Linked DNA regions of Nothobranchius furzeri. The protein of the gene in region 1 interacts with the protein of each later gene in a pairwise test. Links are inferred from orthologs where the notes say so. Each region holds a gene or a part of one and is shown on either strand. Other genes may lie near its edges.

Region 1 (8,404 bases):
CCCAGTGGGTTTCAGTAGACCAGCTTAACCAGCGCGTTTTCATCTGGGAGTGTCGTGCTGTTTCCAGGTGGTGTTGTCTTATATACGGCTTCAAGGCTCCACCTTAATCTCCACCCTCGTCTTTGCATAAGACAGGTCTTCCGTGTTTTTAGAGAAACCTGCTTGACTCCTCTCCCTTTATGTTCAAAAGGTGAATTCCTCTGACTGATTTGCAAATTCAGCAGCTGGTAGGTCAAGTGAAAAGGCAGCATCTGCTAACTATACACGTGGGAGATGCCACACCCTTTTTCAGGGTTTCGTCCCTCTGCGCCATGCCTGTGTACGGTTGCATTACAATTCCCAGAAACGGCAGCCAGCCCTAAATGCTAGACGATGAAAATTACTTCTTAGAAGTACCGCTTTGGCTGACAGGTCTGGCTTTGTTTGCTGTCTGCTGCCACCTGGGATGTTACCAGTGCTTTGGGGGTTTTGTGAATCAACAGGAGACATGTGCTGGAAGTGTTCGCTGCTGAAGTCTCAGAGTTTGAACGAGGCTTGATAGTTAGATGACCTTTTGTTCTCGTGTCAGATAATCTCAAATGATTCTTCTGCTTGATGCTATTGCTCTTCCAGGAATAGACAAAAACCTGGATTATCCTTTTTAAAGACAAAACACCTGCCATTATACCACCAAAGTAGTTTGTTTTACAGAATCCTGAAGTATCAATTTCATGATCTGAAGAGGTCCGACTTGGTCAAACTGTTTTTTGTCGTAGTTAAGGATTTTTCTGTAGTTTTTATCTTAACCTGGAGATCATAAATGCGTGGTTCTCACACATATTGTGTTGCCCTCAACGACTGTGGCACAGTTTCTTTGTCCACATTTCCATTGCCAGAAAATGATACGAAGACTAAAATGAAAAGGCGTTTGTTGTTTAAAATATAGAGAATTTGCTTTGCAGGAATTGAAGCGAGTAAACAAAATGTGTCACTGGATGCCAGCTGGTATCTCTTACTGGTTTGTTTGGTTTTTGCAAAAGTGGACAAGGATGATTATGATGTATGTTAGATGTGGAAAAACAAGACCATAGGATATGTTTCTGACTGTATTCTGATCCCAGGTCAAACTGTTCATTACAGTGATATATTCTTTAGGGTTAGGGTTAGCCTAATTACGGAAATGAATTATTATTCTTTGGTTAATAATTAATCAGTAATGTTTGATCAGTGACAGAGGGTTATGTGCACTTATACACACCATGCAGGGCACTGAAATCATGTTAAAGGTAACTGCATTCACATGTCTTTGTTCCATAACAACAAAGCTTTCTATCTCTGAGAGGGCGTGTTCTGAATTATGTTAAAACCTAAACTCCTCGGTTCAAGTTCAGTTCTTGAGCTCACCAAAATCTCTCCGTGGCGACGAGAGTTCCAGAGTATCGGGTCAGCCGCTCGAAACCTCCACCAAAGCTTTTCTGTCATGCAGAATTGCTTCAACAAGAAACGCCATCTGCAACAAGCTGACGCAAAACTCCTTCAGACTTAATTTAAGATGCAAACTCAACACCTGTGTGCCTGCGGCAACTCTAGGACCAGAGAGTCTGTACCACTCGGATCTCCCCTACCGGACCGAGTAACCAGAGGCTGACAACATCCTCCCTTGACCTCTGGATCCAAACAGAGGGTTGTCTGAACGGTGAGGTAGAACACATCTGTATGCCCGTTCCTTATTAAGAAATAATTTAGCTTAGCTGCAAAACAAACTCTTTCACCCAGAATGCGTTTTTCTCTCTCTAAGATAGAAACCGTCTGAGACCTTCCATTCACACATCCAAACACACACACATCTCATTTTAGTTCCATCCAGACACAGGCTGCTTTAATACCAAGTTTTAATATCAAAGCTTTTATAAATTGTCATTTATGAATTGTCTTTTAAATTGTCATCTTTAAATTGTTAGTAATAAATTCTTAACTTTTTAAACCTGACTCTTCTTTGAAATAAAACACAAAGTGGTGTATATTTGGTCACTGAACGAGCAAAAATCTCTTTAAATCTTCTGAATTAATAAATAAACATTTGCTATTAATTTAAATCTCTTAAATTAAATATTAATCTTTTGATTAAATATAGACCAAGCCAGTTGGTGTATGAACTTCTATCGATTATATAAATATCCGTGGATATATATATATATATATATAATATAAGTTCATTTGCCAATTAGTTTGATTTTTCTCAGAATTTAGCAAAGCTGGATAGCAACAGCGCTAATAAGTTCTAGTTATGTAGATTAACTACGCTACACTCATAAAGCAGATATATTTTGCAAATGTCTGCAAATTTCTTTATAATCCCTCCATGTAAAGTGTATAAAACCTCCACATGCAGCACGATGCTGACGTCATCATACTACAGCAATGCCTGTCAGCAATACCTGGCATTCTTGTGAGGATCGGCTATAAATTTGGACAGTCTAGCCTTCATCTTTACTCAGCCTGGTTGCTTTAGTGTGTATTTAGAAAAATAAAGCAAGTCATATTAAAGATGCGTTTACTTTTGGATGGTTTTCAGCTTTAGCCTGTTCACGTGACTTAAAGCTGCAACAGCAAATCTGCAAAACAAGCTAGCTTAAAACAAAAACACAGTCCTGGAACTCTCATCCCTCCTGACGGGTATCTTCCCCAGGCCAAGTCTGCCAGATACCAGAACCTGCAATGCCAGAGGAAACAAGAGGGCTCTAAACATCCGTCTCCATTTTCTATGTCCAAACGTCTTTTGTTGTCCACAACTTCAAATGGTGTTTTTCTTTTTGGGACTGCTAGTTTGTCCTTAAGTAGAAGTGGTAGCAGCCGGCTGTTTCTGCTTCTCTGACTTTACTGAGCGGAGAACCTGTCACACCCGCCGTGGTGTTCTGTTGGGGGTGGGAGTGAAAAAAGGTCTCGATCAGTGAAGCTAAGGATAGAATTTTGATTATGTCATTCCACCATAGTTCTCAGCTACAAGCTAACTGAGGTTTGCTGGTGCTTTTAGCCAGAAAAACTCGGATGAGGGACTCTAGGTTGAGGTTGAAGCGCGCATCAACGCATCGAGCTGCAGAGTTTCTGTGGTCTCCCTCCGAGAGCTCCACAGGTGAAAGCACAGCCTCACACTGCAGCGACTGAAGCCCGGTGCCAATTGCACATCAGATCTAGTTATCCCTTACTTTTATTAATATATTCTTAACTTCTCTGATTTAATCTCCTGAATGATTTAGAAAATGTTTTCCCTTTTTGGTTATGATTAATTACCAGAATTTCCTCTTTCTGTCAGGATGTCGGACGGATGAAGATAGAGCTTTTTGCAGACGTGGTTCCAAAGACGGCTGAGAACTTCAGGTAAGACCTCTGTCTGCATCACAAAATTTCCCAAACAGAAAAACGACGCAGTTTAAAAAGATTTTACTAATGTTTTTATGATCTCTTACAGGCAGTTCTGCACAGGAGAGTTCAGGTACGGCACTAAATGGGCATTGGCTTCTCTTGGTAAATAAACACAGATAACTGGTTAGTGAACAAATCATCACAGGTGCATTATTCATTCTCTTTGCAGGATGATTTCATGCAATGTTTTAAGTAATGCAAAAAACTAATAAAAGCAATATTGTACACAACTTGGTCGATAGCGCTCAACTCAGAAAGCACAAAGACCAAATCGTGCACAAACCAAATAATGTAAATTTGCTGTCATATTTGAAAATGTTATTGGTTTAATTTTAGAGGCTTTTATTACTCACACCCGACAGTGGCTCTGCTTTGTTAAAGGCAGCTATTTAAAGTGACAGAGGCTGATGTAAGTATGGTCAAACACGGAAGGAATGGGAGTTTGTTTAACAGGTTGCAGGTGTGTTTAATAGTCTGCAAGACAAGTAATGGATCCTTTGCAGCTAACATTTGTTCTAATCTCTAACCTTTGCTCTGCAGGAAGGATGGTGTTCCAATTGGGTTCAAAGGCTGCACCTTCCACAGGTAAACGGAGTAAAATTACCTGTGACATTTCAAAAAAGTTACAACTCTCATTTATTTTCCTGTTTAACCCGACTGTTTTGTAATTAAAACCTTGTGAAGAGGGTTGAATCGGCTCGTTTAAAGAAGGAAGTCTCATAAAATTGAAGTGTGGGCTGATGGGTGGAGCTTTGGCTTCCCCTTCACGCTTCACTCGAATAAAAACTATCGATACAAACCTGTTTTTAATATCACCCAAATGATATAAGAATACATGTTTTTATTTTGTAGCATCCTGTAATGCATTGAATTAACTGATTATCAGCACATATGAATGCAGAAATGTAGCCAATCTGGACCATTTAGTTGTATTCTTGCACATTTGTAAAGAGAAAATACATCAGTAAACATTTCTTCTACGTCTTTCTGAATACTCTCTCATCTCTGGTAGAGGGAGACACACACTAACGCGTTACACATACACACAGCTCTGCCAGCTGCGTTCCCAGAAAACAGGTCCATCACACAAACGCTACCCAACCACAGCAGAACATGTACAATTCCTTAAATGAAATTGGAAAGAAAATGGAACATTTCGCCTGTGACACTAGCTAGCCTGGCTCTGGCTTAGTTTCTTATTTGAATGCTACAAGCCAAGAAGAATGCCTTGGTGGCCTGCATTGTTTGTACAGTAAAGTGCTGTACAAATAAAGTGAGTTGAGTTGAAGAACACGTCATTCGTGCAGAGGGGAGAGAGACGGTCAGAGGGCAGTTTGAGTGGGTTATGATCCTGATGGCAATATGGAAAAATTCCTCTGGACAAACATCATCCACTCCACCTGTAACAGATCAGTGCAAAATGTTCAAAACTGATGCAACTCAGAATTCAGCAGGCTGTTGTGCAAGGAAATGGATGAAAACGTTAGTTCTATGGGTTTCAATTAGAAGATCCCATTGTTGAAGTTTACAAACTGGTTCAGCTGGTTTGGACGTTTTCTTTTACTAATCTTTGTCTAAAATAGTGAAGAAGCTTGTTTGGTGGGTTTGGATTGATGCGTCAGAACACAAATCAAGACTTGTGATACAAAAGTCTTTAATCATAAAAATAGAAGATTTTTTGACAGTCAGCACCATGCCAAGCTGACTTGGTTTTTTTTCCCTATCAAAACTAACACCTACCAGCTGTCAGCACGGTGGTGGAGGGGTGATGTTATGTGCTCGTTTCACAACCCTGGAAGTCTATCATAGTTTGATCTATAGTCAAATGGGATCCTTTCGTTTGGGAACTGAAATCTGCCTGATAAGTAATGCAGCAAGAAAGTGAATTGAAGCACATCAGATACAGAAAGATTGAGCGTCCATTTTCCTCTACTTGTCTGGGGTGGGGTCACAGGTGCACTGGCCTAAGCAGAGAGGCCCAGACTTCCCTCTCCCCAGCCACTTGGGCCAGCTCCTCCAGGTGAATCCCAAGGTGTTCCCCTGGCCAGGTGAGAGACATAGTCCCTCCAGCATGTCCTGGGTCTACCTTTAGGTCTCCTTCCGGTTTTACGTGCCCAGTAAAACCTCTTGAAGGAGGCGTCCAGAAAGCATCCTAATCAGATGCCCGAGCCACCAACTGGCTCCTCTCAGTGTGGAGGAGCAGCAAATCTACTCCTAGCCCCTCCCGTATGACCGAGCTTTTCACGCTATCTCTAAGGGAAAGCCCAGCCACCCTTCAGAGAAAACTCATTTCAGCTGCTTGTATCGGTAATCCCATTCTTTTGGTGACCACCCAAAACGTGTAACCATAGGTGAGGGTAGGAACGTAGATCGACCGATGAGTCGAGAGCTTCATCTTCCGGCTCTCCTCTCTCTTCACCACGACCGACTGGAACAATGCCCACATCACTGCAGACTCAGCACCAATCTGCCTATCGATGTCATGCTTCATCTTTCCCTCTACAGTGATCCCTCGCTACTTCGCGGTTCGTTTATCGCGGATTCACCACTTTGCGGATTTTTTCTTTGGAGCCTTATTCAAGGGAAATTCGCAGATTTGCGGTATTTTTCACCAATTCGCGGTATTTTTCTATGCGAAATATCAAGAAATTCCTGTTTTTTTTTTCATCAATTTCATCATAAGATGCACTTTTTGTAATAAAACTATTAAAAAACCAAGTAAAAAAAATTTTTCTTGAGTTTTACCCACAAAAAGAGAATGTGCTGTACTGTAAATATGGTGTCCCTACTTCGCGGATTTTCACCTATCGCGGCCAGGTCTGGAACGCATCTACCGCGATAAACGAGGGATCACTGTATCTATCCCTCACAATTATCTTGGGGTCTTGTTCACTGAGTATTATGGAACTTTTTTTATTTGTTCTGATTTGCTGAGTTAAAGAAATGCCAGAGGAGGTACTTGTTCATACAAAAGATGAGCCAACCATCATTTCTTAACATTTAGCTACTTTGAGGACAGACTTCCTTGTCATTGTTTGCTTTTTTCGTAAAAGTCTTTCATAAGTTTCTGTTGGACGTAATGTGCTTTTTAAGCTGGTCTTTAGTCCAATATCGGACCACTTAAGTAAAGCCAGTTAAAGCTGAGTTATGAATCATCCAGGAGTTGTAAAAATCCCTAATCCCAAGAGATGAACCGTGTTGTGTCGACACACAAGAAACATCTTGGCTAAGAAAACCCCGTCTGGCACATGATCAGTACTGTAGCGTGAGCAGGGCGATTCTCAAATATCTATTTGCTGAAAACTTGACATTTAGAAAATGACCAACTGAAGAATTAAGCAGCTCCCGTTTCTTACACACTTGTCTTTCTGACCCCAGTCGTCTTTTGAAGATAAGGATATTTTTAGGCCTGGCTTTTCTTCTCTGCTTGTTTCTCTTAAAAGAAATGTGGATTTCTAAGAAAGAAAAAGCGATGCACTCGAGGAATGATTCAAACCAGTTTGTTGAAACCTGAAAAACAGGATGGATGTAGTTGAAAAAGGTGCTGAGTGGAATGCCCGAGAGCCAGGGCTGTTACTGATGAGGAACTGTCACCCGATCCATTTTGCATTGCCTCGGGTCGGAGTGCCAGAATATTTATTTTAGTTTATATTTAACCCTGTTTACAGGAAGGGTCCCTAAAAGACAAAAGGGCCATTTTGGAAGTTAGAAGTTTTCAACCCTTTCTGCATTTTCCCTCCATATGAAACACAACTAGATAGATAGATAGATAGATAGATAGATAGATAGATAGATGGATGGATGGATGGATGGATGGATGGATGGATGGATGGATGGATGGATGGATGGATGGATGGATGGATGGATGGATGGATGGATGGATGGATAGATGGATAGATGGATAGATGGATGGATGGATGGATGGATGGATGGATGGATGGATGGATGGATGGATGGATGGATGGATGGATGGATGGATAGATAGATAGATAGATAGATAGATAGATAGATAGATAGATAGATAGATAGATAGATAGATAGATAGATAGATAGATAGATAGATAGATAGATAATAGATAGATAGATAGATGATAGATAGATCAACTTTATTGTCCAACTCAAAGGCAGAAATTCACCTTTGACATGGCTCACCTTACAATACAATCCATATCGCATTCACACAAATACATAAAAAGACAATTAAAAGGTATTAGAATGTTATCATCGTAAAAAAATAAAACTGTAAGAATTCAAAATTGTAATTGCGCTGGGAACAAATAATTTCTTATAGACACCTTTCTTGGCCAATGGAACCCTGAACCTCCTTCCTGACGGAAGTAACTGAAAAAGTGGGTTCAGTGGACGGGTTGAGTCTGCACTGATCAGGGTAGCCTTCCTGTGCACTGCTCGCTCGTGAAGAACAGAAAGTGGGATCTGAGGTGAACCTGTAATTTTGCTGCCTAATTTAACAATGCGAGAGAGTTGTGTTTTGTTTTTAACTGTAAGAAAGGTATACCAAGCTGTAATATTGAAAGTTGGAATGGATTCAATCAGTGGTTTATATTATACAATTGTTAGGATGTCCTTGTTCACATTGAGTGCTCTAAGCTTCCTTAGCAGGTGGAGTCTTTGCAGCGCTTTCTTGTAGACCCCGTTGCTGTGATTTGCAAAGGACAGGTGGTCATCAGTTTCTGCTCCCAGGTACCTGAATGACTGAACCTGCCCCACAGGCTGACCCTGTATGCTGAGGGGTTCGAACAGGGATGTGTCTGCCTCACCGGCTGCCCCACAGCACATGTCTTTAGTTTTTGAGATATTCAGCCCCAGGTGAAAGTCTCCAAATGTCTGGACCAGATTGCTGACCGCTGCTGATATTTAGACAGGTCCTCCGATGTCTTCACTGATGCCACCAATGCCATGTCGTCTGCATACTTCTACAGGGCCATTCTCTCACTATGGCACCGGATGTTGTTTGTGTTGACTGAGAAAAGCACTGGAGACA
Region 2 (7,233 bases), on another chromosome or scaffold:
GAACACTCTAGCTATAGCATGTCAGATCCATTTTACTATTGAGTAACAGGGATTGGTCAAGGGTACTCTGAAGTTGCAAGCATGGTATTCTGGGCACAGGGGGTGGTGAGATCTGAGTGACTTTTCATGAAGCCCTGGCGTTGGCACATATTGGCTCAAGGAAATTATTTAAAGATAAAAAAAGTTGCACAGTATACCTTTTAAAGAAAATCACACTTATAAATTAATTTTCTGATAAACACTTTTTTACGACCCAGATTTTATTCTTGCATTGCCTAGACAGTCCTAAGATTTATTTTTCACCTTTTTGCAACAGACACTCTTGTACTCCTTTAGATTAGCTCCTGACTGAAACTGTTCAGTGTCAACCAAAATGGTTTTATTCAGTTTATTTCCATTGCTTATTCTTTTTTTTCATTCTGTATTTGTTGTTGTTGTTGTTGTTGTAATGTTCTACATTGCAGAGAGATGCACAGAAAAACACATTGTGTCTGATACAGTGGGTGCGGAAAGTATTCAGACCCCAGTCCAATTTTCACTCTTCGTTTAAATTGCAGCCATTTTCTAAAATCAATGAAATTCATTATTTTCCTCATTAATGTACACACAGCATCCTATATTGACAGAAAAACATAGAATTTTAGAAATTTCTGCAGATTTATTAGAAAAGAAAAATCACATGGTCTTTGCTCAGTATTTAGTAGAAGCATCCTTTTGAGCTAATACAGCCATGAGTCTTCTTGATAAAGATGCGACAAGTTTCTTACACCTGGATTTGGTGATCTTCTGCCATTCCTCCTTGCAGATCCTCTCCAGTTCTGTCAGGTTGGATGGTGAATGTTGGTGGACAGCCATTTTTAGGTCTCTTCAGATATGCTCAATTGGGTTTAAGTCAGGACTCTGGCTGGGCCATTCAACAACAGTCACAGGGTTGCCATGAAACCACTTCTTTGTTATTTTAACTGTGTGCTTAGGGTCATCGTCATGTTGGAAGGTAAACTTTTGGCCCAGTCTGAGGTCTTGAGCACTCAGGAGATGGTTCTTGTCAAGGATATCCCTGTTCTTGCCTGCATTCATTCCCTCAATTGCAACCAGTCATCCTGTCCCCCTGCAGCTGAAAAACACCCCCACAGCATGATGCTGCCTCCACCATGCATAACAGTGGGGACTGTATTGGACAAGTGATGAGCAGTGCTTGGTTTTCTCCACACATACCACTTAGAATTAAGACCAAAAAGTTCTCTCTTGGTCTCACCAGAGATGGGAATCTTATTTTTTACCATCTCAAGTCCTTCAGGTGTCTTTTATCAAACTCCATGCAGGCTTTCGTGTTTCTTGCAGAGGCTTCCAATGAGCCACTCTGCCATAAAGCCCTGACTGGTGGAGGGCTGCAGTGATGGTTGACTTTCTACAGCTTTCTCCCATCTCCTGACTGCATCTCTGGAGCTCGGCCACAGAAATCTTTGGGTTCTTGTTTACCTCTCTCACCAAAGCTCTTCTCCCCCGGTAGCTCAGTTTGGCTGGATGGCCTGCTGCAAGGAGGGTTCTGGTCGCCCCTGTCTTCCATTTAAGGGTTATGGAGGCCACTGTATCTCGGGGTCTTGTTCACGAGTGAGGGAAATCTGGAGCACGAGATCGATAGGTGGATTAGTGCTGCGTCTGCAGTGATGCGGGCGTTGTACCAGTCTGTCGTGGTGAAGAGAGAACTGAACCAGAAGGCGAAGCTCTCGATTTATCAGTCGATCTACATTTCTACCCTCACCTATGGTCACGAGCTTTGGGTAGTGACCGAAAGAACGAGATCGCAGATACAAGCGGCTGAAATGAGTTTTCTCCACAGAGTGGCTGGGCTCTCCCTTAGAGATAGGGTGATAAGCTCAGTCATTCGGGAGGGGCTCGGAGTAGATTCGCTGCTCCTCCACATGGAGAGTTGAGATGGCTCAATCATCTGGTCAGGATGCCTTCTGGACGCCTGGTGAGGTTTTCCGGGCACGTCCAACCGGGAGGAGGCCTAAAGGGAGACCCAGGACACGTTGGAGGGACTATGTCTCTCAACTACGTCTGTCACCTTGCCAGGGAATGCCTTGGGATTCCCCTGGAAGAGCTGGCCCAAGTGGCTGGGGAGAGGGAAGTCTGGGCCTCTCGACTCAGGCTACTGCCTCAAGGGCCGGTATTCAACACATTTTAGTTTTAACCCTGTTTCAACACACCTGATTTCAAGCAGCAGGGGATTAACAGGCTTTTGCAGAGCCTGATGAGCTGCTGCACATGTGATTCAACCACTGAATCAAGTGTGTTGGAGGAGAGAAACCACTAAAACGTGCTGGATACTGACCCTCCAGGCTCGGGATTGAGTAAAGCCTGGGGCACACCGGAGGCAGACCGAGATTTTGAGAAGTCAAGTGGTCACACGGGCCGCGCCGCTGAGCGCTTCTTGGAAAGTCACGCAATAGTCACAACATTACGCAGGATTTGAGAACAGAAAGCGGGAAGTGACTCTATTGTTTATACGTGATCAGACTTACCGCCATGATTTGTGAGACTGAAATTCATAAAAAATGGGTACAGTAAGTACGCTGTTTATGTGAATATTTTAAGATCAACAGTACTTTAAAATTATCTAAAATGCGGCTGGGTTTGTGCCGGCGGTTGAGTTTGTGCTGTAAAGCCGTTCCGCGCCGTAATGTCTGTTAAGTACTCCACAATGACATAAACAGCCGCAGCACTTGAGATAGAACTGGCTCCTATCTTCAGCGCTTAGCCGCGCCGCGGCGCTCCCCGTTTATCCACTCTCGTTAACTATAGTGGCTTCTATTTAAAATGATGGTGCAGTGTGGGTGCGACAGCGCGTCCGCCTCCGGTGTGCCCCAGGCTAAAGCCTGGTCTAAATACTTAGGACCATGTGATATTTCAGCTTGTATTTCTTTAATAAATATTTAATTACATTTTTTAAATTCTGTGTTTTTCTGTCAAAATGTGGTGCTGTGTATACATTGAGGAAAACATATTTTTTAATTGATTTTAGCAAATGGCTTCAACATAATGAAGATTGAAAAGTTGACCAGTGTCTGAATACTTTTTGTACCCACTGTACACATGACATAAACCTAAAGCTGCACTAGTCATAATCTTATGGCTGATATTATGCTTCTATTATATAATTTTTCTGATATATTCACCAGGCCTTGGAGAGAGGATACAAAGTGGACTTTTGTGAACCAGAAACCAGCTGGAAGTTTGATCCTCTTGAGTTGGAAAAGTACTTTTGTCTAATCAGGCACAAATTTTCACAATTTTAATAAACCTCACACGCATGAACAGCATGAGCATGATTTGATATTTCTCCTCCAGGCGGAACAAACATGGTGTTCCTCAGGAAAAGATCAAACAGATGATGGATCGTTTTTCCTCGCCCGTATCCATTGACATCATCATGAGTTCAGAGGAGCCAGCTCACGTCAACCAGAGACGTTGGTCAGAGCAGCAGCAGAACAGGAAAAAGCCACGTTTTTATTAGTTTAATGCAGGACCACCAGCACTGGTGTACACACACCACTCTTGTGTTCTGTAAATGTATTTTTTTGAAGAAGTCTCTTTTTTTATGCTTTCTAAAGATCCAAACATTGTTTACATTTAATATGAGAAGACTGATGTTCAAATCTTTTGACTTGTAAAATATGAAACTAAAGGTAAAATAAAGAGGCTGTGTGTTAATTACCAACCTATTTGATCTCCCAAAGTGTGTTTGACATCTTCAGATTCCTGTAAATGATCAGGTGTGCCTCAGCTTCAGTTCTTAGTCTGTCTTTCCTTAAGCTGTTTTTTTTCTTTAAAGGTGCAATAAGTAACACATTTACAGTGAAATAATCACAAAATAGTCTACTTAGCCAGCTGTGGTGGTTGTCAGTTTTTTTTCCCTTAAAAAGGTGGAAGAGGGATATAGTTTTTAATTACAATCCAGATTGCCTCCATACGTCAACGTTTCAGAGGCAATGACATGAGAGCCCACAACGTTGCCAAGTCTGCGCTGACAAATTCTTCTGCTCCAGCATTTGTAACTTGACACTGTGGGGCAAAAAGCAGCAGCATAGGGAGCCTAAGTCATGCCCATCTTCTTCTTGACCATGGGCCCCCAGAAGAACGAAAAAATAAATGCAAGTCAATGGGGCTAAAATGCTATTATCTAATTCCTCTCGTTTTGTGCCATGGATTTCACATATGATGTCTGTAAATTTTAAAGACGAATGTTGAAACCAAGAATGCAATTATTTTCGAACGGAGGGAAACATTATTTTAGGTTTGGTGTGAAAATAAGTCCAGGACTACAAATGTGCATCATAAAAGTGACGTCATCAATCCAGACACCGAGAAAAACTGAGGGAAAATGGCTGTAAGTTTGGCGAACTTAAAATCCTTCCTTCAGGAGGACAAAAACACCATAAATCTGGCCATTTGGTAAGTAGCAGCTATGCTAGAGGAGAAGAGATTCTGTGGTGACATCATATATGCAACGTGCCAATATCTAATTTGTAGTCATGCTAACTACGAACTTTTACAAGCTGATAAATCTCAAAGTACGTGACAGGGATGGCTGAAACACCCATAGTTAGTTTTCATTTAAATTTCAGTACAACATATGTGCAATCCAGGGCCTAAGGCAGGATTAGAAAATAACTTTTAGCCCCGTTGACTTGCACTCATTTTTTTTGTTATTCCGGGGACCCATGAGCCGACCGGAAAGGGAGGAGAGTTAGGCTCCCTATTGCTGAAAGAACTAAAGCCAGTAACAGGATCAACCCAGAAGTTATTTCTAGTACTCCCAAGGCCATGTACACATATAGCTGGGTTTTTGTAAAATCAAACATTCTCCTCTGCCCATTTAAGAAAAAAACTTTGGTCCACATCGCCTCATTTCCAGCAAGAATATCCGGTGCACTGTGATTAGCAATGCCAAGCCTGTCGATGGCAGGAGCTCCCCAAATCTTGAGCATCTTTGCCAGAGAAAAATTCCCTACTTACTTATTTTGTGTGACTTGTATTCATTCGTCATCTAAAATCTTGCTGAGATCTGACTTGATTGCTTTGAAACATGGACTGCAGTTCCCAAATTTGGCCACAGAATGTCCTTCTTACTTCATGTTCTGAAGAGCTTATGACAGACTTGGGTCAGCTTTCTTCGTTTCAGCCTCACAGTTTGCAGACTTCATTACAGGTTGTAGCACTTGTAATAAATATTTTTTCCCATTAAGATTATATCAATAAAATGTTATTGCTAAAACGATTGAGCATCCTATTAGTAGAACGTGACTCCCCGTGAAACAGACAGTGAGATAAATTAAGGTAATTTCGATCCGTAATAGTGTTTTATTGATTTGTCTCTGAATTCCTTTGTGTTTCTGAAGCCTCTCTTCCTCCCTTGCCTCATAAACCACTAACAATATTTTGTTTGACTTTTATATTCCATCCATCAAGTTTCCTCTGCTCATCCGTGGCCTAGTCACAGTGGCAACAGCGGAAGCAGAGAGGCCCAGAAATCCCTCCCCCCAGCCACTTGGTCCAGCTCCTCCGGAGAATCCTAAGGCATTCTTGGGTCTGACGAGAAATGCCAGTCCCTCCATCGTGTCCTGTGTCTTCCTTTAGGTCTCCTCCCAGTTGGATGTGCCTGGGAAACCTCCACAGAAAGGTGTCCAGGAGGCATCCTAATCGGATGCCTGAGCCGCCTAAACTGGCACTTTAATTACTTTGTCCAATTCCAGAAGTTATTTGTCCAGCAGTGTGTTTATTTTCACTGCTGCACATTATTTAGTCAGACTTATTGGTCCATTTGTTTTAGAAATAACTGATTGACTTTCTAGGAAATATAGTGTATTTTTTTCTGTTTTGTTTCTTATCATGACAAAAAAATCTGTTAACTGCATTTGGTAATAATTCATGAGGTGAGCCGTGTGACCTTTTATATGCTCTGGAATGATCTACTTATTAGACAGGACAAGATGCACAATCGCATCTCCAATAAGCTGCAAATTCCTGACAAAAGGTTAATGTTTGCATCTTCATTAAAACTGTTATCAATATTGGAACTTTTAATTAATTTTTTTTGTTGCAGTTTTATGTCAGCTCTCTCACAGATCACCTTTGACCAATGCAGAAAACTACCAGTAAGACTCATTTGAGCAACACTTACACAAAAGGCAGCTTAACAACAGGATATCAGGAACAGGGAAATGCATGATGTGCATCAGTGCAAAATGAGGCCAGCTTCTCTTAGGCACATTAAAGAAACCACGAGAGCACACAAATAGGCAGGTTTAGAAAGGAGAAACTCACTCAAAAATTCAAAATTTTATTTATTTTTTGACTAAAGCTTTCTATAAATTGAACTGAGGTGTACAAATAAAAGCAAGTGGTTGATTTTAAGCATAATCCTGTATTGTATATGATCTGCTACATTCGAAAGCTTCGTTTATTCAGATATTATTCTACCTGGGTGATTGCCTGTACCACAGAACGAAACACAAACATACTGACGAATGTTGGTTATTCAATAATTTTGATTGCACAGATCAAACAGGCCTCCACCAGGAAAACACCTGTGCTTTTCTGCGTATGTGTCATAACTTTTTTATGATGTTGTACGAGCCAGCAGCACCATATGTGTTGCATTTGGCAGGTTGTGTCTGGCTTTACAAGCGAGCGAGTCTGCAGCAGCAAACAGCAGGCGTGCTCAGAATGGTGATTATACAAGACAGCTGATTAGTGATTTGTGTTCACTGAATGGAGGTGATGAATCACTTACTGCTGGTAATCATCATAAAGACAAAAAAAAAATCTAATCAGAGTAGGTGCACACCAGAGAATAATAAAGCTGAGGTGGTAGATGAATGTACTCTTCACATTTAAAGCAGAATGGGGTAAAGAGGCAGTTTAATTTCACTTTATTTAAATTTTCTGCTGTTGCACAATTCTCATTTTAGGCTTTTGAAGTAGAAAATTAAGATGACCAGGAGACACTTGTTTACATTTGGTGCTAAAGGCAATACTTGCTTCAAAAAAGAAATTTTAACGATGAAAAAGTATAACTCCCAAAACTCGAGCTACATTATTTAGATCACTGGATTTGACTCATGGTTTCCTCATGACGACGTCCATAAGCTCATATTCATTCAACCTGAAAAGAAAAAAGGACGAAGAATGAACTTGAAGCTCACATAAACATCCCTCTACGTTTGTTGT

Evidence for each region.
Region 2: the proteins of ppih (region 1) and n4bp2l2 interact in binary tests that used the Homo sapiens proteins (3 or more experiments, as listed by UniProt). The two-hybrid records come from large-scale screens. The link is inferred for Nothobranchius furzeri from reciprocal best matches to the Homo sapiens genes PPIH and N4BP2L2.

Annotation. Positions count from the first base shown.
Region 1 is NC_091755.1:32,524,687-32,533,090, reverse strand, and holds part of ppih (peptidyl-prolyl cis-trans isomerase H), read left to right. Parts: exon of another isoform or gene 1-520; intron 521-3,292; coding exon 3,293-3,357; intron 3,358-3,448; coding exon 3,449-3,472; intron 3,473-3,942; coding exon 3,943-3,987; intron 3,988-8,404. UniProt on the Homo sapiens protein: PPIase that catalyzes the cis-trans isomerization of proline imidic peptide bonds in oligopeptides and may therefore assist protein folding. Participates in pre-mRNA splicing.
Region 2 is NC_091753.1:42,458,829-42,466,061, forward strand, and holds the end of n4bp2l2 (NEDD4-binding protein 2-like 2), read left to right. Parts: intron 1-3,182; coding exon 3,183-3,259; intron 3,260-3,351; coding exon 3,352-3,517; 3' UTR 3,518-3,725; downstream 3,726-7,233.